Linked DNA regions of Xenopus tropicalis. The protein of the gene in region 3 interacts with the protein of the main gene of each other region in a pairwise test. Links are inferred from orthologs where the notes say so. Each region holds a gene or a part of one and is shown on either strand. Other genes may lie near its edges. The genes, in order: ift20, abi2, traf3ip1, smc4, sfr1, ccna2 and kansl1.

Evidence for each region.
Region 1: the proteins of traf3ip1 (region 3) and ift20 interact in a two-hybrid assay, tested with the Homo sapiens proteins (2 studies listed by IntAct). The link is inferred for Xenopus tropicalis from reciprocal best matches to the Homo sapiens genes TRAF3IP1 and IFT20.
Region 2: the proteins of traf3ip1 (region 3) and abi2 interact in a two-hybrid assay, tested with the Homo sapiens proteins (2 studies listed by BioGRID and IntAct). The link is inferred for Xenopus tropicalis from reciprocal best matches to the Homo sapiens genes TRAF3IP1 and ABI2.
Region 4: the proteins of traf3ip1 (region 3) and smc4 interact in a two-hybrid assay, tested with the Homo sapiens proteins (2 studies listed by BioGRID and IntAct). The link is inferred for Xenopus tropicalis from reciprocal best matches to the Homo sapiens genes TRAF3IP1 and SMC4.
Region 5: the proteins of traf3ip1 (region 3) and sfr1 interact in a two-hybrid assay, tested with the Homo sapiens proteins (2 studies listed by BioGRID and IntAct). The link is inferred for Xenopus tropicalis from reciprocal best matches to the Homo sapiens genes TRAF3IP1 and SFR1.
Region 6: the proteins of traf3ip1 (region 3) and ccna2 interact in a two-hybrid assay, tested with the Homo sapiens proteins (2 studies listed by BioGRID and IntAct). The link is inferred for Xenopus tropicalis from reciprocal best matches to the Homo sapiens genes TRAF3IP1 and CCNA2.
Region 7: the proteins of traf3ip1 (region 3) and kansl1 interact in a two-hybrid assay, tested with the Homo sapiens proteins (2 studies listed by IntAct). The link is inferred for Xenopus tropicalis from reciprocal best matches to the Homo sapiens genes TRAF3IP1 and KANSL1.

What each region holds. Positions count from the first base shown.
Region 1 is NC_030678.2:47,412,886-47,416,897, reverse strand, and holds the start of ift20 (intraflagellar transport protein 20 homolog), read left to right. Parts: upstream 1-1,212; 5' UTR 1,213-1,491; intron 1,492-4,012. UniProt on the Homo sapiens protein: Part of intraflagellar transport (IFT) particles involved in ciliary process assembly. May play a role in the trafficking of ciliary membrane proteins from the Golgi complex to the cilium.
Region 2 is NC_030685.2:54,209,841-54,213,340, forward strand, and holds part of abi2 (abl interactor 2), read left to right. Parts: intron 1-450; coding exon 451-618; intron 619-1,338; coding exon 1,339-1,515; intron 1,516-2,607; coding exon of another isoform or gene 2,608-2,625; intron 2,626-3,500. UniProt on the Homo sapiens protein: Regulator of actin cytoskeleton dynamics underlying cell motility and adhesion. Functions as a component of the WAVE complex, which activates actin nucleating machinery Arp2/3 to drive lamellipodia formation.
Region 3 is NC_030685.2:60,708,000-60,712,250, reverse strand, and holds the start of traf3ip1 (TRAF3-interacting protein 1), read left to right. Parts: upstream 1-1,451; 5' UTR 1,452-1,598; coding exon 1,599-1,721; intron 1,722-4,251.
Region 4 is NC_030681.2:114,790,607-114,794,590, reverse strand, and holds the start of smc4 (structural maintenance of chromosomes protein 4), read left to right. Parts: upstream 1-1,184; 5' UTR 1,185-1,759; intron 1,760-3,519; 5' UTR 3,520-3,525; coding exon 3,526-3,634; intron 3,635-3,984. UniProt on the Homo sapiens protein: Central component of the condensin complex, a complex required for conversion of interphase chromatin into mitotic-like condense chromosomes.
Region 5 is NC_030683.2:27,807,280-27,809,852, reverse strand, and holds the end of sfr1 (swi5-dependent recombination DNA repair protein 1 homolog), read left to right. Parts: exon of another isoform or gene 1-45; intron 46-314; coding exon 315-686; intron 687-1,613; coding exon 1,614-1,805; 3' UTR 1,806-2,073; downstream 2,074-2,573. UniProt on the Homo sapiens protein: Component of the SWI5-SFR1 complex, a complex required for double-strand break repair via homologous recombination. Acts as a transcriptional modulator for ESR1.
Region 6 is NC_030677.2:66,838,343-66,841,062, reverse strand, and holds part of ccna2 (cyclin-A2), read right to left. Parts: intron 2,284-2,720; coding exon 2,060-2,283; intron 594-2,059; coding exon 389-593; intron 1-388. UniProt on the Homo sapiens protein: Cyclin which controls both the G1/S and the G2/M transition phases of the cell cycle. Functions through the formation of specific serine/threonine protein kinase holoenzyme complexes with the cyclin-dependent protein kinases CDK1 or CDK2.
Region 7 is NC_030686.2:17,302,963-17,306,944, reverse strand, and holds the start of kansl1 (KAT8 regulatory NSL complex subunit 1), read left to right. Parts: upstream 1-1,182; 5' UTR 1,183-1,214; intron 1,215-1,659; 5' UTR 1,660-1,797; intron 1,798-3,982. UniProt on the Homo sapiens protein: Non-catalytic component of the NSL histone acetyltransferase complex, a multiprotein complex that mediates histone H4 acetylation at 'Lys-5'- and 'Lys-8' (H4K5ac and H4K8ac) at transcription start sites and promotes transcription initiation.

The DNA.
Region 1 (4,012 bases), on a different chromosome or scaffold from region 3:
TACTGTAATTCCCTTCCTGGCCAGGCCTCCCCATACTGTTACTGTAATTCCCTTCCTGGCCAGGCCTCCCCATACTGTTACTGTAATTCCCTTCCTGGCCAGGCCTCCCCATACTGTTACTGTAATTCCCTTCCTGGCCAGGCCTCCCCATACTGTTACTGTAATTCCCTTCCTGGCCAGGCCTCCCCATTACTGTTACTGTAATTCCCTTCCTGGCCAGGCCTCCCCATACTGTTACTGTAATTCCCTTCCTGGCCAGGCCTCCCCATACTGCTACTGTAATTCCCTTCCTGGCCAGGGCCTCCCCATACTGCTACTGTAATTCCCTTCCTGGACCAGGCCTCCCCATACTGTTACCTGTAATTCCCTTCCTGGCCAGGCCTCCCCATACTGTTACTGTAATTCCCTTCCTGGCCAGGCCTCCCCATACTGTTACTGTAATTCCCTTCCTGGCCAGGCCTCCCCATACTGTTACTGTAATTCCCTTCCTGGCCAGGCCTCCCCATACTGCTACTGTAATTCCCTTCCTGGCCTCCCCATACTGTTACTGTAATTCCCTTCCTGGCCAGGCCTCCCCATACTGCTACACGCTAATGTGTCGGTCGGTACATGGCCCTGCATGTGAGCCATCCCTCTGTATCATGCTATGGGCGTGTGGCTGATAATAAGCCCCTGTGTGACAGCGCCCCCAGTGGGGCAGTTCCTACAAGCCGTACCTCCGTGCCGCATCCTCTGTCCCACACACACCTGCAGCTACACGGGTTACTACTAACAACACTACATACAGGGCGCTCCGCTTCACTCACTTCCCCACATCTTCCTCCATCTTTTCCACTAGCTGAGGTCACTTCCGCAACTTGTTGCCACAGAAACCGCCCGCACAATCATCTTGGGTCAAGTTAGGCACCGCCCAGCGCCAGGGCATGCTGGGAAATGTAGTAGCAAGCTATACTGACCTACGCCGCAGCTTTACGCATTTTAGGCAATAACAAACTAAACTCCCGGAAACCCATGGCGCTGTCCCTCGGCATTAGTTCCCTGGTCATCGCTTAAACCTCGCTAAAAAGAAGGAATTAATACTAGCGGACATATTTAGTTCTGGATTTACCGGTTAGAAAGTCGTGGGCTTTAACATGACCTTTTTTTATAACTGCAGACTTTTTACTCTCTAAAAATGTGTGTACGCCAGAACAACTATATCTTATGTGAACGCAGTCAGGCACCTGTGGTAATACACCTCCAGTATTAAATATGTTCTCAATTTGCATCATATCGCTTCCAACAGAGATTTAGTCACTTTCCGTGAGGACGATTCGAAGCTCAACTACACAATCAAGTTTCTGGAATAATGTTTTGCCAGTATGCAACATGGCGCCCACATACTCAGCTTCCGCTTTGTCACTATGGAATCTAGATTGTGTCCTAGGAAGTGACGTCTGTAAACAGCAGCGAGTTGTATCCGTGGCAGCTGAAGCCGAAGGGTACCGGGAGGTAAGAGCAGCTGGTGTGGGGCAGTAAATGTGACCGTTCCGGGGACTTTGGGGCTAATGGAATAAAAGGCGATAATTCTGATACTGAGCAAGTTACTCATAGCATCCAGTCTGCAGGTGGCATGTCGTTGTTACAAGCAAACATCTGGTTGCTATGGGTGACAAGCCCTTGGCAAAAATTCCCAAATTCATTGCGCTCCACAGAATTTTCAGCGTTAACAGGGCAGCTTTTGCTGATTGGCAGCTCCACCTTGTGGGACTGGGGTAGGAGACAGTCAGTCAGCAACAGATACAGCGGCATAGTAGCCTGGAACATTCCTACACTAGTATGTGTCTAATAAATAACACAATTATCTTCATTATCAGCTTTATGAGATGTACCTAGTGATTGTATTAGGCTGAGGCTGCTTACAGGGCTAGTGTAGGGCAGGCAGGACAGAGAGGGGCAGTTCTGGGGCACTATGGGGCAAACTGGCCTTTGTGCTCAGAAACCTGCAGCCACTGTGCATAAGGAAATCTCATCCTGTCTGTGCACTTAGTGCATCCATGGCAGGGGAATAAGGTAAGAGTAAGAGGCTTGATGCTATAGGGACACCCATATTTGTGTGAGCATGATGGGATCTCTCTGTTATCCTATTCAGGATAGCCACATAGTGTTCAGGGTCTGAAAGAGATCCATCATCTTTGTCCCTCATCACAAAACCGAAGGCAGCGTTTGTTAATGTTTGTATTTTTTTTTCATGATTCATATTTTCATGTTCTTTTGGTTTTTGTTTTGCATTTTAGTTCTTTCAACAAATGACTAGACACTTGGGGGCACATTTACTTACCCACGAACGGGCCGAATGCGTCCAATTGCGGTTTTTTCGTAATGATCGGTATTTGGCGATTTTTCGGAAAATTATCGCGACTTTTTCGTTGCCATTCCGAATGTTGCGCAAAATCTGGCGATTTTTTCAGAGCGTTAAAACTTAAGCGAAAAGTTGTGCCTTTTTCGTAGCCATTCCGAAAGTTGCGCAAAATGTTGTGATTTTTTCGTAGCGTTCGGATTCATTCAAGCTTCAGTATGGTGACTTTTCTTGGGCCAGGTTGGAGCTGCAGGGTGCCATTGAGTCCTATGGGAGGCTTCCAAAATCTTGCTAAGTCTGAAAGTTTCGCCCGCCGCTTACGAGCGTTCAATACGAAAAAGTCGCGACAAGATACGAGCGAATCTTAATGGCTACAAAAATTCGCGTTTTTCGCGCAAATCGTATTGGTAACGAAAAAGTCGCGACAATTTCCGAAAAGTCGTAAAGGCGCTGAAAAAGTCGCAAAATGTTCATTTTCCAATCTGAATTTTTCCAATTCGAATTCGTGTCTTAGTAAATCAGCCCCTTGGTTTTAGTGGAAATGAGTTTTTTCATGGTTTTTAGAAACCTCTAAAACCATGAATTTTAGAGTAATATAGTAAATTGCAAATGTGCCCCAGCATTTTGTGCCAGTGTGTGGTATTCCCTGTTACATCACACAATCATTACTAAGATGGGGGTTTTTCCATGCTCTGTACTGCTAAAGACATAGTAAAGCAGCCCTCTCAAATTTCTGAACAGACAATAAAAACATGTTTATTTGTACCACTTTTGTAATCAGCCCCTTTGACCTAGAAACATCAGATTTTGGGGCTAACTTTCTGTATAGATGCTTTATAGGCTCAGGTTAAAAGGCTGAAGTTCATTGATAGCAGCATCTCATGTGTAAAAGATGTATTACACTGATAGGTTCTTGAATTTGAAATAAATAAATAGATCTTCTTGATGAGTAAAGCCAAATAGATCTCTCATTTGATGCAGAATAATGGCTTGGGCAGCAGATGCCACTGTTTTTACTGAAATCTATAGATAAGGTGCTTTAATGTATGTGTTACTCCCACTCCTATCAATAAATATCCAGTTAATGAGAATGCCATAGTCCATAACATACTTACAGGTAATTTTCAGGTGGACTACCACTTTAAAGTAAAACGTAACCCCAAATGGCTTCTGTTAATTTCTCTTTTGGCAAAGAGCTACTCTGCAGCTTCCCATAGCCAACAGTTGTTTGTCACATAAATTGAACCCTTCCTCCCTCAATAAGTTACTTTCTAGGTGCTGTCACGACATGAGGATTTTTAAGAGATCTTAAGATGCCCATTTAGTCGCTTGATATATTTTAAGAATACTGTGGTGGGGGTATCTTTTAACATTTGACCAATAAGTCTGCTACCACAACTGTTGTTACTTCTCAGATGTAGAAGGCAACCGCAGGATCGTCATGTGAAAGAACCACAATAATAGCAGGAGTCAGAAGGATAGGTGGTTCTTAAGGGATTTGCCTGGCTGGTGTGAGAGAAGCTGGGGGAAATGAGCAGAATGGGCTGCTCTGATTTCTTGGTGTGGTTGATGACTGCGGGCACCATTCCCTTTATTTATTTATTGGTTTGTGGCAAATCCCTCTGGTGACATCACAGATGACTGGGTTGGGCGTGGTTATATAACTGAAAGCAT
Region 2 (3,500 bases), about 6.5 Mb from region 3:
TGTTTAAGAAAATATACTTCATACTTAAATTTACATGCATTAAACTAAATACACACATACACACAAATTTACTACATAGAGCAAGTATATACCTATACTACTACTTTTCGATAATGCAACAGAATGTCCGCACAGATGAACATCAGGTAATTAGCAGTTATCGCAACATTTTTTTGTGGTACTTTGTAATCATGAGAGGAATTCAAGCTGTATTCAAGTTCATTTTTGACTATAGGGCATTGTCAATGTGTCTTTGTACACATTTATAGCAGCAGATATTTCCCTTCATCATACACTGGACCCTTGCTTTGCTTTGATTTTGGTTGTTTTATAGAGTCAGTTTTTACTTAACTTCTATGTAATATTATTTTAAATGTACAAGATGCATTCTCTGGTTAATAAAACTGAATTACATCATACAGATGCACTAATGTCTTCGTATGTGCTTAGTCTCCAGACAAGCAGAGAGCCCTAGAAGAAACCAAAGCCTATACAACACAGTCTCTAGCTAGCGTGGCTTATCTGATCAACACCTTAGCCAACAATGTCCTTCAGATGTTGGATATACAGGCTTCACAGCTTAGACGAATGGAGTCATCCATCAATCATATTTCACAGGTAAGAAATAACTTTTTTTTATAATTGTTGTAATATAGTTGTCTGCTAATTTAGATGACTATTTCTTTGTATCTTGTTTCTTTAACTCATTGGGTGGCATGGTTATCTGGTTTCATCTGTCACATATTGCTATATCTTAGGTCAGGGGCTCACAGAGCGGATTGTCATTTTCTCCACCTGCGGACAAACCACTCTATGTGCCCCTGGCCTTAGGGTGCTTACACAAGTTGCTTCATCATCCAGTGCGAGATCTTTCCCGCAGGCGTTGAAGCACCAACAATATATGCCCCTTTGCATTCATTGGAATAGCCACATATTATATGTGGTCATTCCAACAAATGTGAATGTGCAGGTATTGTCAGGTGCTTTGTTGCTTATGTGGGAGGAGATTTTCCATGGGGCGACTAAGCACCCCGTATATCAGGGCCCTTAGGCTTGTGCTGCTCTGGGCTGTTTCACTGCCTGTGTGTAAGTGCAGACCCGAGAAACAGCCACTCCACTTGCATCCTCCCTTTCCTGTGTCTGCACCCAGAGGCACTGCTTCATCTTGCAGACACATGGAACAGATATGCTTATGACTTTCAGAGAAAGCTTGAGGGAGGGAAATCATTGTTATGCCTATGTGATTAAGGGTAAAGGAGTATATGGTAACTGTGAATTGCATCTGTATGAGGCTATATATAATGAGGCTGTTTAATTTGTAATTATTCTGGTTTTTAGACTGTGGACATTCATAAAGAAAAAGTAGCTAGAAGAGAAATTGGAATTTTGACGACCAACAAAAACACCTCTAGAACACACAAAATAATTGCTCCTGCCAACTTGGAGCGACCAGTCCGTTATATTCGTAAACCTATTGATTACACAATTCTTGATGACACTGGACATGGAGTGAAGGTAGAACATGCTTGTAAAAATTCTATTCTATTCTATACTTAAATATATTCCTGTTTGTATGTGTTCAACGTATACTATATACATAATGGGTTTTAATTAGGGGAAAACATTTTGTCTTACACTAGAGAATTTGGCACACATTGCATGATTGTAAGAAACATACACAATTTCTTTTTGGGTTTTGTATATGATTTAATATCTCTTAAACATAGGGCACAGTTTAACTTTATTCAGCATTCATACATACACATACATTTTGATGTGAGTGGGATATTTATTTTTGGTCATGCTGGGCTATTTTCTGTTAAAATACCCGTACCCGAAATAATTCTTGAGTAGCATTTGTTGGGTGAACTTATGCAGCTTTAGCTGTACACACATCACTTTGTCAATAGGCACTTAAAGGAATACTGTCAGGGAAAAACATGCTTTTTTTCAAAATGCATCAGTTAATAGAGCTTCTCCAGCAGAATCCTGCATTGAAATCTGTTTTTCAAAAACACAAACAGATTCTTTTAATATTTAATTTTGAAATTTCACATGGGGCTAGCCATATTCTTCATTTCCCAGAGTGCCACAGCCACCTGAAGAAAATACTAAGCAACTTTACAGTATACATTCATTTCTGATTTTCAGTTGTTCTAAAGTTATTTTTAAATGTGTTAAAAAATAAAAGCTGTGTTTGCCCTTTTCTGCACTGCTAGTTCTAACTGTTTAAACAGTGTAGCAGAAGCCATATCTCTTCCAGCCAAGACTCTGATTCCCACAATGCCTTGGGTACAGCTTTCCAGTTTGTTAATCATCTGGCCTCTTCTACATTGTTTTAAGGCTCAGAACCAAAAGGGCAGAGGTTAGAAATGGACAAATACAAATACTGTTTTCAGTATTAGTGAATATTATGTGTGTGTAGTAAACATGCCATTTTACTATTTCTTGTACAGTTCATAATACATTTTGCCTGTAACACATTGCTTTGCATTATGTTGTGTATGTACCAAAGGTGTAACTTGCTTCTGTTTTCTTTATTCTCATTTCTTGTTAGAACCAACTAACTTTTCAATTTGCTTTCATTTGCTTCATTTGTGCAATAAGTGGTTGCTTAGATTTAAGGTAAGAAGTTTTGGGGATCAAATACATATTATGTACTAAGAGATTATTATACATAGGGAATGTTGACCACGCTGTATTTCGTATAAATTTACCTTGCTTTTGTTAATGGAAACAATATTGTCATTCAGCTGGACACGGAATCCTAAAAACTTAATCTTCCATAAAAGAGTTTGTCCTTAATAATTGCATATTTAGATTTAAGAAAAATGAAAATTTACATCATCTGTGAGCAAAAAGTAGTCCTATGTTAATGCTCCCCTTTCCTGATGGCCTGCATTGCCAGCAGTTATGACCTTACGGTTGGCCTGAGGGACAAACTATTGGATTAGCCTGATACTGCCCTACTCACCAAATGAGAGGATCTATAGGCATGTGGCCAGCTTTATACTCATATTTGCCTATAGATAATGTGTGTGTTAAATAAATATATGCTGAAAAACTACCTGTGGGGAACTAATAAAATAAGATAATGAATAAAGCTTTATGAAGAATTGTACTATTCCTGAGGTTATATTTTTCTAAAAAAAAGATAAGCAGGTCTAACCTACCTTACTTTACCTGAGTATTACCTTATCTCAGTCAGATTCACTAGCTGGTGGTGGATCCAAGAGGTTTTACAATGTATAATAATATAATATTATATGAATTATAATATAATTTTTTATGGTTTCAGTATCCGCTTAGGAGTTACATTGCATTTGTGTTCTTTAATTAACACAATGAAGAATCATCAGTTGAAAAAGACAAATTAATTTTAGAGTAGATTAATAATATATTTCAGATAAGTTTGTAAACAAGATTCTTCCTCAAATCTGTCCCATGCAATATGATGCCCGATGTGCGGTTATAGCTTGCCACTTTGCCACTCAGGGGTT
Region 3 (4,251 bases):
ACAAGGGCACCCACTCCATTTAGAAGAAGGGAGGTTCCGTTTAAATATTCAGGAAATGATTTTTTACTGTGAGAGCTGTGAAGTTCTGGAATTCCCTCCCCGAATCAGTTGTACTGGCTGATACATTATATAGCTTTAAGAAAGGGTTGGATGGCTTTTTAGCAAGTGAGGGAATACAGGGTTATGGGAGATAGCTCTTAGTACAAGTTGATCCAGGGACTGGTCCGATTGCCATCTTGGAGTCAGGAAGGAATTTTTTCCCCTCTGCTGCAAATTAGAGAGGATTCAGATGGGGTTTTTGCCTTCCTCTGGATCAACTAGTAGTTAGGCAGGTTATATATAGGCATTATGGTTGAACATGATGGACATACTTCTTTTTTCAACCTAACTTACTATGTTACATTCTGTCTGAGGCACGACCAGTTGAACAATGGCAGACACAATGGCAAACACAGGGAGCATATGCCTGCCTTATGGTGATAGTTTTGTAAATACAGACTGGGTCTCACTGTATATAATGTGCCTGGGATGTCAGTACCCACTGCCTTTCTCACTATAAAACTAACTAAAACACATTTAAGCTAACTGATCCTAAACACAAATGGATGGAGAACCCCTCACAGAAGTGCATGTATGAATATTTTTATATCCTAAGCATGTTAGGGTGAAAATACACCCCCATCCGCACTTTTGCACAGTATCCCTGGAAGTCAGTGGGAACGGCAAGAGGTAGTTGGGGGTTCATTTTTTACATCAACAGCCAATCCACTAAGTTTCACATTAGCTGTAGGTCAGTCTATGCATGGCCCATCTTTAGCCTCCCCGAACAAAAAACTCACCCTCCGCCTATGCAGTAGAAAAGAAAATCATTTGCCAACTTAAATTCATTGAATCTCATGAATTTGCACTATTATAAAAAAGCCAACAGGCTTTGGGATATATGGCAATTCATAAATGTAGGAAGGGGATAATACCAATGACTGGAGATAGAAATACTGAATGTTGGCTTGCCAGAGAGAAATATAAAAAAATGTACCCAGATATAAACAAAACAAACGAAATAAATGGTAAATTATTTACGTGAAATTGAATAGTTTGCCATTTGGGTTACAAATGTGTGGGCCTCATATTACAGGGTAATGTAACTGATGGTACTGCACCTCATATGATTAAAGAAAGCACAAACGCAACACGTTCGCCCCCTGGCACAATACCCCTGGCATCCTTTAGTCAGTGCAGTACCCTTTATAGCTAAAGTGCAAATGAGTAGGACCCAGCTTTCTGTTTCCCAATGAGACCCTCAGCTTTCATTTCATTTAGTGAACGTTGCACCTCACACCTTACTAGTTTACGCAATGAGTTTGTATAGTGTGTTATGACCTAATAGAACCCCACCCCGCGCTCTGTTACTGTTGGTTCCCATGACAGCGGACGCTTAGTAACAGGAGAGGCGACGCATGCGCAGAGGTCAGAACGCAATGGCTTGTGGGTAAGATAGGGTTGCCTGGCGCTGAAGAGGGCTGTAGCCTGGCGCTTGTAGGGAAGTGGTGGCTGCAAGTTAGGGGAGCTGAGGGTCGTGTGTTTAGCTTGTCAGTGAGATGGACCCTGCGATTATTGGGCGCACTCAGGAAACCCTGGGGAAAGTGATTCGCAAACCTCCTCTTACCGAAAAACTACTGGGAAAACCTCCGTTCCGCTATCTGCATGATATCCTGACTGAGGTGAGCTCACGGGCTTCTGTTTCTTTTGGCAAGGGATGCTGGGAAATGTAGTTCTTGTACAAGTCAGGGCTGGAATTAGGGTAGAGCAGAGAGTACATTCTCACTGGGCCCTGGTAGTTCATGGGCACTTTGTAATAATTGTTCGATAATTTGCCTATACATTTTATAGATGTGCAACCTGCGGCCCTCCAGCTTCATGTAAACTGCAACTCTCAGCAATGTATTCCACCTTCAGCCAGAGAGTTGGGAGCAGCAGCTGATGGGCTACAGGTTGGGTATCACTGGGTATATGCTGCCCCAGCATGACTTACTGGGGGGGGGGGGGGGGGCACTATTTAGCAATATCTGCCACTTACTGACTGACTGCCATGCTGGAGATCTCTACTGTCTGTATCTCCATACCCCCTAGTTTGCCAGACTACCTACACTCTGTCTTTATGGGGTGATTAGGAAACCATATCTCTTGGATGTGTGAGATTTCAATGTCTAGGATTCCTTCCACATCGCTGGCTCTTTGGGTTGGACCAAAGTTGTAACATGCTGCATAATCTTCCCAAACCTACACTGTGTTGCTTTACATTTTATTCCTTTGTTCGGCTGATTTTATGGAAATATTGGTGCCTAAATTTAAAGAATTCATAGAAAAAATTACCCTGACATCGCCAAACGAGCAGATCTTATGGGGACTGCTCTCTAGCCAGGACCTCCGTACTGTGTGATATTTCTATCCCCACATGATAGCTTGAGAGGAGGCTAAAACACACAACTGTTTTACTTACATTACTTGACTGTCATAGAGTCTGTGCAATATTAATATCTCCAATAATATAAATGAAATAATTTGCAGTGGTGAAAAATCCAGGTCTCTGTGAAATACACATGAATCTTCTGTTTTAATGCAATGTGGCCGAGAAGTCCATGGTGGTGTGCAGAACATTTCTTGTCCTGTTTCCAGGCAAATTATGTGAATGCCCAGTAAAAGAGAAATCTGAAGTTAATTGGGCTGCATCTGACATTTCTAGGTCTGGGGAATTTAAAGGCTAATAAACCTTAGTGTGTGGCCTCCCATTCTATTTTCCATAATGTCTTTGTGCCAACACCCTTTCTGGTTGTAGGTTATAGCTTTTAGCATGTACTGCGTTGGGTAGTCTATGGCAGTGTATAGATGTCCTGTGGCACCTGCTTCATGCCTGGTTGCAGATAGACCCATATGCTTGTTTCTGTCCAGGCATAAACATGAGAATAAATCACAAACACAATCTGGGCGATTACACCGATTAATAGGTCAGTACCTTCTATCTAAGCAGTGGTGTTTTTTCTTTCTGTGTACACAAAAAGGAAAATCATAGGAATAAATCTCCCTTTTGGTTGCAGGGTATACAAGGAAGCATTTAAACAGCATATAAATATATAAATCTAACTAGGCATGCCCATTTGGTCAGTCTTGAGCTTTCAGCAGTTTGCTGTTCTGCACTGGTGGCCAAGTTGCCTTTAGATGTAATTGCACAATACAGGTATCGGACCCCTTATCCGGAAACCCGTTATCCAGAAAGCTTCGAATTACGGAAAGCCTGTCTCCCATAGACTCCATTTTAATCAAATAATTCAGAATTTTAAAACTGATTTCCTTTTTCTATGTGGAAATAAAACAGTACCTTGTAACTGATCCTAACTAAGATATATATAATCCTTATTGGATGCAAAACAATCCTATTGGGTTTAATTAATGTTTTATTGATTTTTTAGTAGACTTAAGGTATGGAGATCCAAATTACGGAAAGACCCCGTTATCCGGAATACCCTTGGTCCCGAGCATTCTGGATAATGGGTCCTATACCTGTATCACCTAGAACAGGAGCCATTTTGGAGAAACATATAATAATAGTACCAAGGTTTTGTACTGTAGGTATATGTGAGATAAACTGACGAGTAGCTATAAGAGCAAATCTAGAAAGGCAAGGTGCTGCTTTGTGCAGTCTTAATCACTTACTTAAAAATTACTTGCATGTAGCACCAGTGCCTAGTTCAGCCTGTTGCGATAAATTGCACACAATGCAACATACAGGGTACATGGATGCAAAGGAGCAGTCATGAGAGGGCTGGCCCAAAAACTTCTAAAGGTGGCCATACATGTATCAATTTTGATCTTTTGTGAGACCATTGGTCGCATGAAAGATCGTTCCCACCCTCCACTGACGTTCAGGGCTGAATCGTCAGATATGGAGGTTGAAACAATAGAAATTCTATCTCCACCTGAAGGCACCTGATCAAAATCTTTTAACCTGGCCGATCGACGAGTAGACCAATATCTGCAGCCTTTTGTAATATCGTTTGCTTCTTTGAGCAGCCATACACGCACCGAATATCGCACGAAACAAGGTTTCGTACAATATTATCGGTGCATGTATGGCCGGCTTAATGCCGCACCAATACACAGATCAATTGAAGAGATGTTATTCCTGGGTTTCCTTGGTTGTTGTGCCTATCTGTATAACTGACCACCTACAACCTAGTGAATAAAACCCTAAAG
Region 4 (3,984 bases), on a different chromosome or scaffold from region 3:
CTGGCTGGAAAAAGGGGCTACATGCACAGTTCTGAGCAGGTGAAGGATTAAAATTAAGGCAGGGCTCCTAACTTTTGTTAATATTAAAATATTTCCAGACCCTTTGGTGACAGCAGGAGGTTGATCAAGGCTATACAAAAGGTGAAGGCCATTAGTATCACTGTGGGCAAGTCAGGAAACTATGGCTCTGTTATCAATGGGGTCCACAAAGAGGAAGGTTTGTATATTACTATACAAACTTGGCAGCACTGACCTAGAGCTAGATTACTACTGGACAAAAAAAATAGGGTAAGTACAACCTACTTAGATCAGATCTCACACATGCGACACAGGGAGGATAGTTACACCGGGCAGCATTATTCACCTGGCCCTTAAAGCATTACTTGTGTTGGAATTTACAGGAATCTTTAAAGTTGTAGCTTCTATAGGCCCAAAATAAGAATGTAGTTTCTGAAGGAAATCGTGCTTTGGGATCACTATATATTTGATCTACGCATCTTCAAATAATTCGGAGGCAGCTAATAGTATGTTAGACACCGTAATAGCCTGAGCGGTATTAAAACTTCCTATTGTACAGATCTGGCAAGCCGCAGGATACTTATTATATAAAAACCGCATACATTACAAACATGCAAGCGCAAATCCGCACGTTACCTGCGCTGTACTCCGCTCACACGCAGGCCTTCTCCTCCGGCGATGCTTCAGTTCTGTATCTATCGGCGGTCGCTATGGTTACTTCTCGCGATACTTAGTCTGATTGGCTCTCTGCCTTTCTGCCTATGGCTTAGCGCAGTGACGTACTGGGAGCCGTAGGTTAGGTACATACTGATATTTTAGCTTCCAACTTTGTAATAGTTGAATGTGGTAATAACAAATACAATACTCACACATTAAGGGAAAGCTTTGACGCAACGTTTTTATTCAACTCGTATCGGGTCAAGGGCATAAATGTACTAAACCATCCCAAAATCATTAATGGTTACTTCACATTTCTTTATACGTCAAAATGTTCAGCCAGGCGATTAAAACTACATACTGTATATCTTAATTTCACTGCGTATATCAATATGGAAATATATTATAGAGTAAAATAGTATCTTTCCACTGTACTTTATGTACTTTATGACAGGCACTAGCCAAAACCAAAGATGGCCGATGTTTTGCTACCTCGGCGGCTCACACTGTCCTCCACCCTCCAATCACCGTCCTTCTCACATCTGTAAGAAAGACAGCTCTCCTCACCCCTCCCACTTGGACAGCTCATACACTGGCACTCCCATTAGTGTTGCCACGCAACCAAGCCCCGCCTCCAAACCGCCTTAAAAACTGAGTTGTAACTGTTCTATAAGTATGCATTTAATTCTTATGAATATGTTTTGAAGCAAGTATAACTTTGTTACTCAGCAAGCGCTCGTCGCGTGTAACCATGTGTTTGTATAAACTGTAACTCTCTGCTTACTTCTTCTGCTGGATGAAAATGGCATCCGCACTCTGAATTTTTTTTCAAATCTTGAGTGTCAGCTCCCAGAATGCCATGCGCCGTGTAACGAATTTCGGTTCGAGTTTGGATTTTGGGCGCCATTTTCGAGTGGAGTAGCTGAGCAGTCAGGGAGGAAGGGCTGTGCGCAGTCCCAACTTGAAAACAGCCGTTTGGGAGACGAAAATCATTCAGTCAGCGCTCGGCTACAGCTCGAAAAATCGGCAAAAAAATCAAGGAAGCCACTGTTGAAAGGGGGGATTGACTGGAGCGATTTTTCAGGTGATTTTCCGCCAAAATTGTCATTTTTTAATTTTAGCGGGCTGGAGAGGTGTGACAGGCAGAGGAGCCGCCGCTGCCCCCATACACGGCACAGGCACTTATTTCTCCTGATGGCCGGCGCGGACATTCTCTCTTGTTCCTACGCTGCCCGGTGTGTGGAATGTAGTGCCCGGCTCTCTCAGTGGGACGTAGTGCCCGGCTCTCTCAGTGGGACGTAGTGCCCGGCTCTCTCAGTGGGACGTAGTGCCCGGCTCTCTCAGTGGGACGTAGTGCCCGGCTCTCTCAGTGGGACGTAGTGCCCGGCTCTCTCAGGGGTGCCCACTGGCACTTCCCGTTATTTTCTCCACACAGTTAGGATTGCGTGTAACCCTATCTTGCGAGGGATGTGCAGCCTGCTGCTTCTCAGCTGTCCAACCACAAAGCCTGATGCCGGCAAACAGCTGGAGGGCTGCTGCTGGTGGGACGCTTGATATATAGAAATAATGGCACAGGCGATTGTGAGCAGCTGCGAGGCTGCGGGAATGGATACCCTCGCTGGATAGCATTGATGTCACAACAGCAGCCGGAGGGCCGCGCTTTCAGACAGACTTTACTGATAATACAGAATGGGTTTTAGCCCCGATTCCTTGCAGTTGATTTTGCTTGACAATAACGGGGTCTTCGCCTTTGCTTCTCCTGCTGTTGCTAAACTGACTCTGGAACTGTCAGCCAGGATTCAGGGTGGGTGCTGGGAAATGTAGTTTAACAGGTGGGGGGGGGGGGTGACATGCCTGACTGTCAACTGACACTAGAGCAAAGGTTTATTGTAGTGGGTGGGTGTCACATGTATATGGCTTTGTACTAATGTATCATTCTGTTCTCTCGGATTATTATATCTCCTCATCTTCACCCCTCGGGCAGCTACACTGATTCGGCATACTAATGAAAGCGACATGGTATCGGCCGAGTAGAATCCCTTTGCGTCTCGGAGGTTACGGATCTCCCCCCAAATCTATAAAGCCTTTAGCGATGGATCTAATGGATGTGTGACTTTCGCATGAGCAGTGTGGCAGCTCCCACACGTACTAGTTCTATTGATACAAGAGAGGAGTGCAGTTAGCGCTGCCTTGTGCTCGGCTGAGCACTTACCAACAGAGACCATTTGTGATGCTCAGACCTTTCCTGTCACACGGACTCGGAATATCAGTGGGTCTGTCCCTCCCGTGGGTCTCTCACTAATCGCCCCCATATGAATAGTTTCGCTAAGTAGTTTGTGTTACATACACAATAGGCCATTATAGCGCTGTAACACACGGCTCTATCTGGGATAGGTTAGTAATCCCTAATAAGCAAAATGTCATATTTTTTTTTATTTTTCGTGTAAATTGCCCTTTTTTTGCATACAGGGTGAAGTGCACAGTACTAATAGTACACTAGGCTGTATTGGGTATTTTATTTGCTGGCAGAATAAAGTAAACAGCGCTAAATACACTTGGCTGTGTTAAAACCATTCATTTTAATCTGTATACAAATACCCTGACTTCTGTATCTGCATTCAAATAACATGACTTCTTATTACACCGGACTGTGCAGATCGTGTTCTTTACATACAGAGTAAAGCGAATAGTTTCAATAGGATATGGTATTTACATACAAAGCAAAGTGAGTAGCGCTAATAGTATATGGTACAGGCCCGGTTCAAGCGCTAACTCTGCTTTGTTGCCAGTGAAACAGCGTGTGCCCTAAGCGCTTTCTCATGGGTTTCTTTATTCCATTCCCAGGGCACCATGCCACCTAGAAAGACGAAGACGGCGGTGGCCAGAGAGGCCACAGAGAGCCCCATGGATGAGAGCGTCAGTGTGGCACAGGCAGGGCAAGCCGAGGCACCTACACAAGGTAAGCAAGTTGTGCCATTGTTGTACGGGGGATGGCTGATGGGACCGTGTCGCAGCAGGTTGTCCGAGTTCCTGGCCGACTGTTACATTGCATTCATTAGAGCGTCTGTGCAGCGGGCTCACAAGGGTCAATGTCACGTCGAATGGGAAATGTGGGGGATTTTTGTTGCGTTTTGCTCTGACGGGTGCAACCTTTAGGGGAAACTGCCAGCTATCTGTGTCCATTGCGTCAGGCTGGAAGGCACGGCGTTTCCCAATAGAGACCCAAGCGGACAGCCAGTGGCCTTTAGAAGGGGTGGGGGACCGCAGCCAATCGCTGAGGTACTTTTAACTCTTTATCTGTCGGGATGG
Region 5 (2,573 bases), on a different chromosome or scaffold from region 3:
GGTGAAATATGGGGAGACTTAAGGGCACTATTGAGACAACTGAAGGTATGCCTGCATCTTGAGATTATCTCTTTATTAGCCTTTCCTTCTCCTTTAAAGGATATCCTAGGGTGGAAACAGGGCAACAGGCCTTTGATAGAAGCAATTATTGTTGTTTGTACTTTTCTATATTTTAATATTGCACATCGCTGCGTACCTCTGTAGCGTCTATTAAATAAAGTTATATGTACGTATGTTAAGTACTTGATGACATTGATTGGCCTTGTAGTCTGAATTGTTCACATTACTTTTGCTATCAACAATTGTGTTTTTAGCCCATGAGTGCAACACTAAGGGAACGGCTCAGAAAAACCAGAAGGTCATTTAATGGTGCATTTTCAGTGGCAAAACGACTCAAAGTTGATTGTGAAGAAAATGAAAGTTCCTCAGACTGTCCCAATAATAATTTGCCATCACACAAAGACTCAGAATTAAATGCTACAAAAACAGACGTTAATTTCGTATCTGTGGAAGATGTACACAGATTAAGTAGCGGGACTTCATCTGCAGCTTCCTCACCCATCAATTCCAAGGATTCCTTCCATCACCAGGAGATGCTTCAAGAAAAAAAGTTACTGCTAAAGAAGGTGAAGGAGAAAGAAGATACTTTGAGGAGATTGAAAATGGCGAAACTCTACAGATCTAAGGTCTGCCCTTACTGTATAAATGTACTATCTTTATGCCAGGAGGGGGTTAGGGAAGCTCAGCAGGGGCCCCTGGGGGGGGGGGTAAGGGAGGCTCAGTGGGGGCCCCTGCAGGGGTGTAGGGGATGCGGCCGGGCGCAGGCACCTGCAGGGCCCCTGGGGCAGCAGCCTCGGTGGGCCCTGCACCCCCCCAGTCCAACCCTGGTTGGGTGGCCAAATAGTCCTTGCCTCTCGCTCTGTCCATGTGTCTGATGCTGTAACCCTGCCTTTTCACCTGTCTTTCTCTTGTTCCATTGGCCCCTAAGCACTGGGCACTGACACACCAAGCATACTATATACAGTGTGAGACAATGATTATTGGCCCCTCAAGCACACTATAGAAAGTCAAATACAGTGTGTACCCTGAGGTAGCAGTATGAATGCAGTTCCCACTTTGTGTTTAATGTCCCAGAACACATAGCAGCATTATTGGGCAGTCATTGTTGGGGATGAGCTGGACAGTGTTATGTGCTTATTCCCGCTGGTTCAGGGCCCAATAGGTCCAATTGGCTTAAGGCCGGCTTTGCATCAAGTTAAACCTTTTATACCTATATATAACCTGCCTAACTGCTAGTTGATCCAGAGGAAGGCAAAAAATTTTAAATTTCCTTTTCTTCTGTAATAAATAAAACATTAACTTATACTTGATCCCCACTAGATTAATAATATATCCTTATTAGAGGCAAGACAATCCTATTGGCTTTATTTAATGTTTAAGTTTAAGCATTGGCTGTGCTTTATGGGAGAAAGCACTGCTGGATTTTAGATCTTTTCTGGCTAGTGATTTCTGTGTAACAGATCCCATGCTTGTATTACTAATAAAGGTGTTAAGACAGCTGCAATTTTCTATATGGTCTATATTTATAGTAGTCTTTATTTTCCCTATTTTAGAACAATCTGTCTGAATTACAGTCTCTAATAGAAAAATGGCGGAAGGGCAGCCAGCTCTTACTGTATGAACTGCAAGCAGCGTTATCAGCCGAGAATAACAAGGTTACACTCACACAGTTAATAGAAAGCTGCGGGCTGGATGAAAAATTGCTGCACTATAGCAGAACAGAAGAGGATTTTACAGATCAGTGACATCTTTCTGCACTATTAATAAGAAAAGAACTACTGGAACACCTTCAAAGAACAGAAACTTGTTTGTCTTCGTTAATAGTTGGTATTTATGTGAACAGAATATTTTTCATAGTAATATAACTAATATTACATAATTGTAAACATTACATTTCAAGTTTTTACTTACAGGCTAAGTGCCAAAAAAGTTGTTAGAAATAGAAGAGGAAAAAAAAAACCATTTCTTTCATGCTTCTATTTAAAAACAAAAAAAATAAAATAAAAAAGAGCATATTGACTTTGTAATCATTACATCAAGCACCTATTTATATGTACCGTATGATTACTGGTGTATAAAGGGGGATGGCAGAATGATTTTACAATATATTAAACACTTGCCAGCAAGGGTAGCAAAGTGTAAGTGGCATCCTAGCATTTAACTTCTAATGGCCACAGGTGTGGGGTTTCTACAAAGCATAATGGGTTAACCTGTGTTTCAGGTTAAGGAGAATTAATTTGGGAGCTGTATTATGGGTATCAGGTTATTTGTGGAAGAGGTTTAACATCATTTGCTAACATTTTAATGTATTATGCAGGGTTACACCTAAAATTGTCCCCCCATTGGTGCTGCACAATGCCACTGGTGTGGGTGATACAGCTAGACACTTGTGAAATATCTGCATGACTGCTGTTACAGTATTGTTACCCCACTTTCAGTGTGAACATTGAGGACAATAGGTCACCTATGTTGATGACTGCTAAAAGGTCTCTGCTTATACTTTAGCTGATACC
Region 6 (2,720 bases), on a different chromosome or scaffold from region 3:
CATGTCATGGAAAGGAATATTAATACTCAAGTTACTCTTACATCCCCCTAAGCAGTTTGTCTCTACATGGAGCTGTGTGCAATAAGCACATACTTTGACAGTTAGGTCAAATAAATTTGCATGCTCCTTTGATTAGACAACCAAACTGACCAGCTTCTGGTGGAAGAGAAGATTGCCAATTCCCAAAAATACAGAAAGTTTATTTACATGAGAAAGCCTATATAAAATTCTCATGTTAGCAATTGTTCCTTTAAAGGGACCTGAGCAAAATAATGTACAGTGCAGGACTGTCAACCAGAATCAAGTGAGGAGGTGGATAGGAAATGTTAAGCTGTCAGAAAGCCATTGTATGAAGTGAATAGTCACATCTGTATAGGTGCATACATACCATGCTTAGGCTTTCCACTTTTGGAGAGACTGGTTGTATTTGGAAGTACTGATTGAGGTACTGTAAGATTGTTGGAGCAGCAAGGTCAAACGACAGAACTTTCAGCACCAAGTGTTCCATCTTGAGAACCTGTTTCTTTGTGTATGTATCATCAGTAATGTAAACAAACTCTGCCACTTCAGGAGGATAGATTTCTTCGAACTTTCTATACAAAACAAAAAGAAGCTATAAAGGCAGTTTGAACCAAGAGTTACCTGGTTATGCCTAAAACAGGATTCCAGGGCATAGTATGAAAGGAACAGTAACATCAAAAAAGTGTTTTAAAGTGATTAAAATATAATGTGCTGTAGCTCTGCAAAAAACTGGTGTTTTTGCTACAGAAAAGCTACTATATAAATAAGCTGCTGTGTAGCCATGGAGGCAGCCATTCAAGCTGGAAAAAAGGCACAGGTTACATAGCAGATAACTAGTAGATAAGCCCTATATAATGGGGGTTTATCTGTTATCTGCTAAGTAACCAGTGCCTTTTCTCCTTTGAATGGCTGCCCCCATGGCTACACAGCAGCTTACTTATATAAACTATAGTAGTCTTTCTGAGGCACACACCAGTTGTAGCAATGCACAGCAACAGTACATTATATTGTAATTACTTTTATACACTTTCATTTTTTGGTGTTACAGCTCTTTTAACACAGTGCACTAACACACAACTGTATATTCACTAAAGCTGTGAAAGCCACTTGAGAAAATATTTAAACTGAAAACCAGAGAGCTGTACATAACTGCCCAGCAGCAAGCTAAATACTTTAAAAAGGATGCAGAATTAAAAAAAAAGTTTTCTTGCCGAGTATCAAGAGTTCAGATTTTGAATGCAGTACAAAATTATAAAACTTTTGTGACAAAGTAGGCAATGGGAATGTGTGTGCGTGCCAATGAAGGATGTTAAAAGACAAACTAAGAAACTGAAAACATTTACAGATGTGGATATAAGCTGCTTTAAATGGGGTTTATAACCCTTCAGAACTCCAATAATTAGCTGTGTAGTTAAAGGGATTCAGTCATTTTTACAGTATATTGTTTTATTTCTAAATTACACCGTTTACATAGCAAATAATTCACTCTACCATTTAACATTTTATTCTTAAGGCAACAAATATATATTTTTGTAGTGGTGATATAGGCAGCCATCTTAGTGCATTGTGCCTGATCCTGAGCTTTCAGAAGAAGCCAGAGCTACACATTAGAACCGCCTTCAGGTAACCTATTGTTTCTCCTACTCCCATTTAATTGGAGGAGTCCCAAGCCAGACTTGGATTTCTTACTATTGAGTGCTATTCTCATATCTACGGGAGCTTCTATCTTACTTGGGGAAGGGGGTGATATCAATCAAACTTGTAGCATAGCAGTAAAGTGTGACAGAAGTTTATCAGAGCACAGGTCACATGGCTGTGGCACACTGGGAAATAAATATGGGTAACTACACTTGAAATTTCAAAATTAAGAAAAAAAAAATGCAGGATTCTGCTGGAGAAGCTCTATTAACCGATGTAGTTTTAGAAGAAAAAAAAAAAAAAAAAAAAAAAACACTTTCCCCCCCATGACAGTACTCATTTAAGAACCTCCATTTAACCATTTCTTATGGCTATTTTATTAAGTGCTATTTCTACTTACGATGCTAAAAGCATTGCAGCGGTTCCAACCAGCTGGAGCTTGCCTCTCAATACGGACATAGATGAAAGAAACCTATCTATATAGTTTACAGCAAGGTACAGGGTTTCGTTTTGCAGCTTATACTCCTCACCAACTTCAACAAGCCAGTCAACAAGAATAGCTCTCATGTTGCCTGTTATGTCCGGTTGTTTTTGCATGTACCCAGACTTTGGTTTACACTTCACCTGCAGAAGACAAAGATGCAGTATTAATAACCAGATTAAAAAAAAAGTTGTAAAAATTGTCACCCATGGACATCAATGCATTTTGCAAATGTTGTTTCGAGAACTTTTTGGCAAAGTGAAATGGGACAGACACGACCATCACTAAACAGCACCAGTAACGGGGAGTAACACCACGCAGGGAAAATTAAATCCATTTCTTTCATGAGGCAGACAAAAATAGCAGTTATAAAACAGGGGTGATGAAAATGCCCATGTGAAACTGCTCTAAAGGGTAAACACTTTAAAGGACAAGGAAAGCCTAATTCAGAGGGGAGGAAGTGGCAAAGGGTTAGGCACCCCCTGTGAATTAAGCCACTAAGTTCTTTCTAAAGCAGCACTAGCATGTTACCCATCTCTACCAGGCATGCCTCTAACTTACACAATAAAAGTAGAATTCC
Region 7 (3,982 bases), on a different chromosome or scaffold from region 3:
ATTTTTCCTCTTTGTTCCTATTCAGAAATTGGGAATGACCATGAAGTAGGCCAAATGGTCAGGAGCAGGAGGGCCCACTGACGCCTGGGCCCACCGGGAGTTTTCCTGGTATCCTGGTGGGCCAGTCCAACACTGGTCAGGGATGCCACATACATGGGCCAGTAAGCTGCCTTAAGGCCAGCTCAGAAATGCTTAGCTGATGTTCAGTTTAAATATATATTGGAGAAAAGTACCTCAAGTTATGGGGGGGGGGGGGGTAACCTAGTGACATTTAGTTATACTTATGCCCTTTCTGCAAGCCTAACACTGAGACAGACTGAACCATGGAAGTGAGGTGAAGTCAGCACAGGACAGACAGGCTCTGGCACCTAAGGCAGCCAAATAGTGGGGTATATTATATAAGGACATATTTATAAGGGGAAAATATTTCAAATATGCTACTAAAAGGTAAAATTTAATAAATATGCACTTGTGTCACTGCTGTGCTTTGGTACAAGAAATTCTGCTTTTATCTGTGGCATAGATATCAGGAAGTGATTTCCACATGTTATTTCATGGGCAACAAATTGTCTTCAGATTTTAGGCTAGGGATAGCCAATATGTGTCCCAAAAGCTTTTGTTGAGCTATATAAGCCTTCAGGCCAGTGTGAGATTTACTAGTAATGGGGTGTGGGGGTAACCAAGTTACTCCTGGTAACTGCCATACATTGAGCTTATGGTGGCATTACACTTGTGCTCTTCAATTCCTCTCAGAGGATGCTGGGAGCTGTAGTTTAGGAATAACTGGGACGCTGTGTGACAGACCCCACATTCTTGCGCATTGAAGTCTCTTTGTGGATGGAAATTTTTACATAAAGATATGGTTCATGGCCCCCCCAAAACCATAACCCACTTTCCAGCTTTGGATATAGAGTATCCCTCCCTCGTCACTTCTCTGCAGATTTATAAACAATTAATTCAGCGCTCATGGTGCAAAGTGTCCCTATTTTAGCGGTCTCCCCATGTCCCATTAAAGCCCCCCTCCCCCTTATTCATATCCTGCAACCAGACACACAGTAGGGACACAGTAATCGCACAGGGCCTCGCCCCTTACAGCTTGACGGACAACTCATTAACCAATCGCGCGAAGCTCCTCCGGACCTTCACCAATCCGGAGCTTGCAAGGGAGGGTAAAGGGTGGCACCGGAGCCAGCAGTACTGGTTGAGCTGTGCAGGTAGGTGCAAACTGAGGGGTGCTTGGGGTGTGGGGTTCATGCACCAGGTGGCAGTGGGAGTGGGGGTAGAGCACCCCTGGGCATCCAGAGGAGGCTGGGCAGAGATGGAACAGCCCATTGCAAGAGTTGGGGATGAAGGGGGCTGTGAGGAATTCTCCAGTATTCTCTAGCAGTCAGCAGGCCAGATACACTAGATACTGGAACTTTATAGGATCAGCTGTGGGGGGAGCACAGCCCCAGTGCACACTACCACACTGTGCCACACATGCAGGGCAGACACTACTTATACTATATATGTTCACTCATACTAAATACATACAGGGGAGAACATACAAATACCACTGTCTACCAGAGTCCACCCTATTAAAAATTTCCACAAAATAAAAAAAAAAAAAAACTAAATCAGATAGCGTGAGTGAAAAAATATGACTATTTGTGATCCTAGATATCAATGGATGATGCAGAGGAACCCCCCAAACTGGCCTTTGGCAGACAATGCTACAAGGATGCCTCCGAGGAACAGCCGGGATGAGGCAACAAGGATCCATGGATCAAATGAAAATCGGTACAGTCTGATAATATGGTGAGTAAGCGCCATGCTTTTATAATGTGAGTCTTTAATAGCACTGAAAGGACAGGACAGGTCCTACAGAAATTCCTTTATCTCCATTTATTCTGGGGTTACAGTAAAAGAGTGGTAACCATAAAAATGAAATGAAACACATATAAATCTTATATAATTAGTGATAATTTTAATGCAAACTGCAATGACTTCTAAGCAGCATACAGTGTGCCTCTAAATGATGATAGCGGATGTCCGGTATTAAAATGTGCAAGCAAATGTGAGGCCATGGACCTCTGACGGAGGTAGGCGAGATGGCAGGCATTTTGTTACCCTCTGTCACTTTTCCACTGGAAGGCAGTGGCACACAGAATCCTTGTCCTGTGCCATTAGCCTAAATATCTGTAGTGGGAAAAGAAATGGGTAGCAATCCAGTGCACATTGCTAAGGCTGCACATCCAGACTGGGTGCCCATGGCTGAAGGGAACAGTAACTTTCTTGAAGTAAACACGACCCACAGCTTTGCCTTACTAATGCTGCTCCTTGCCTTACAGCTCACCAGCATTGCTCTTTTCTTTCTTGGGGTCTGGATGAACTTATTTATCTCGACTTCTCATAAGGAGGTCTGGAATGGGATATAAAATAGGCCATGGCATATCATGTACAGAGAGGCCAAAAAATCCCAATAAATAGTGACTGTCTATGGCAGGGGTGTCAAACTCAATCACATAAGGGGGCCAAAATCTAAAACACAGGCTAAGCTGCGGGCTGAATTTTTTATTAAGATACTTAATCTTACTAAAGGATAGATCCTTCCTCACCCTGAAACACCATATCACACGCCATCTTCGTGCATTAATTATGTTTTGAAAATAACAGCAGTTCAGGCCGCATGCCTTGTGTTTGACACGTGGTCTATGGCATCTTATACCAGCCCCTCTGGCATTTGCCAGAATCTGTAGACTGCGAGTCCGGGCCTGCTCATAGGACATGGGTCACATCAGACAAGTGGATTAGTTAGGGGATGGTGAGATAGCAGTCAGGGTTAGTGGTTCATGTCTTGGAAAATCCATGGTAGGGATGGTCTATGGGTAAAGCCAGATGGTTGAATATTACAAGAAACATCCCTTAGACCCTGTTCCTCACTGTTACCATTTGTGAGTGTGGGAGTCCTCATTGCTGACCATAGTCGATAGGGATCATTGACAACACAGCCTATCACTGGAAATGGTAATGCCCTGGGGCCTTTTACTAGATGCTTCTCCCAGCTGCTTTAACATTAGAGCTTGGTCTGCCTCTGCAGCCTGCTTAATTTGTGAGGAGCATGTAATTTTAAAAACGTAGTCCATATACTATTAAAAAAATATGGGGCAGCACCTGGCCATTCTACCTTTAATTATCCTATTTCCTCTGCAATTATGCTTTTCTTTGTTCCCTTTTTATTTTTTTAATTCAGTTGCCAGCTTCTTTCATGATATCCCACAGCCAATTCCATGTGTAATACCCCAGAACACATAGCAACAAAAATGCTGTGGAAATTTAATTTAAAATACATCTTAGATTACCTTGCAGGATTACCTGTAATGTCTGTTTCACATAAAATATCACAGAAACATAGTAGGATAAATGCATTGCCAATTCCATTTATAATGCCCTCAGAACTTATGCCTGTTCCATATATAATGCCCCCAAAACACATGCCAGATCCATATATTTAGCCCCCAGAACACATGCCAAATCCATATATATAATGCCTCCAGAAAAAATGTAATATAATACAGTCTCAGTTTCATGCATAATAATCCCACAACACATGTGAGGACAAGAGGATTGGTTATCAGGGAATATGAAGTGGGTCATTACCTAGGGAATCTAAAAATTATGGAGGATGAGGAGGATGATTTATGAATTAGGAGAGGAATTTTATTATGGGCAAGAATTTGTAAGTGTCAGTGATCCAGCTATTCTGTAATTGCAGATCTCAAAATGTAACAATTAGCTGAGCTTGCAATGCATGTTGAGAGTTGTAGTCGTGTCACAGTGGCAGAAGCACTCTACCCCTAATGTAGGACAGTGGTCAGGATTAGAAGGAGAGGTGTGACAGTAGGAAGCAAACAATAATAAAATTTAGATGTAAGAAAGACAACCCTCTCAAGGTCTATTTAATTTACTTGAGACTCCTTGAGATAACTTCAATTTATTACAA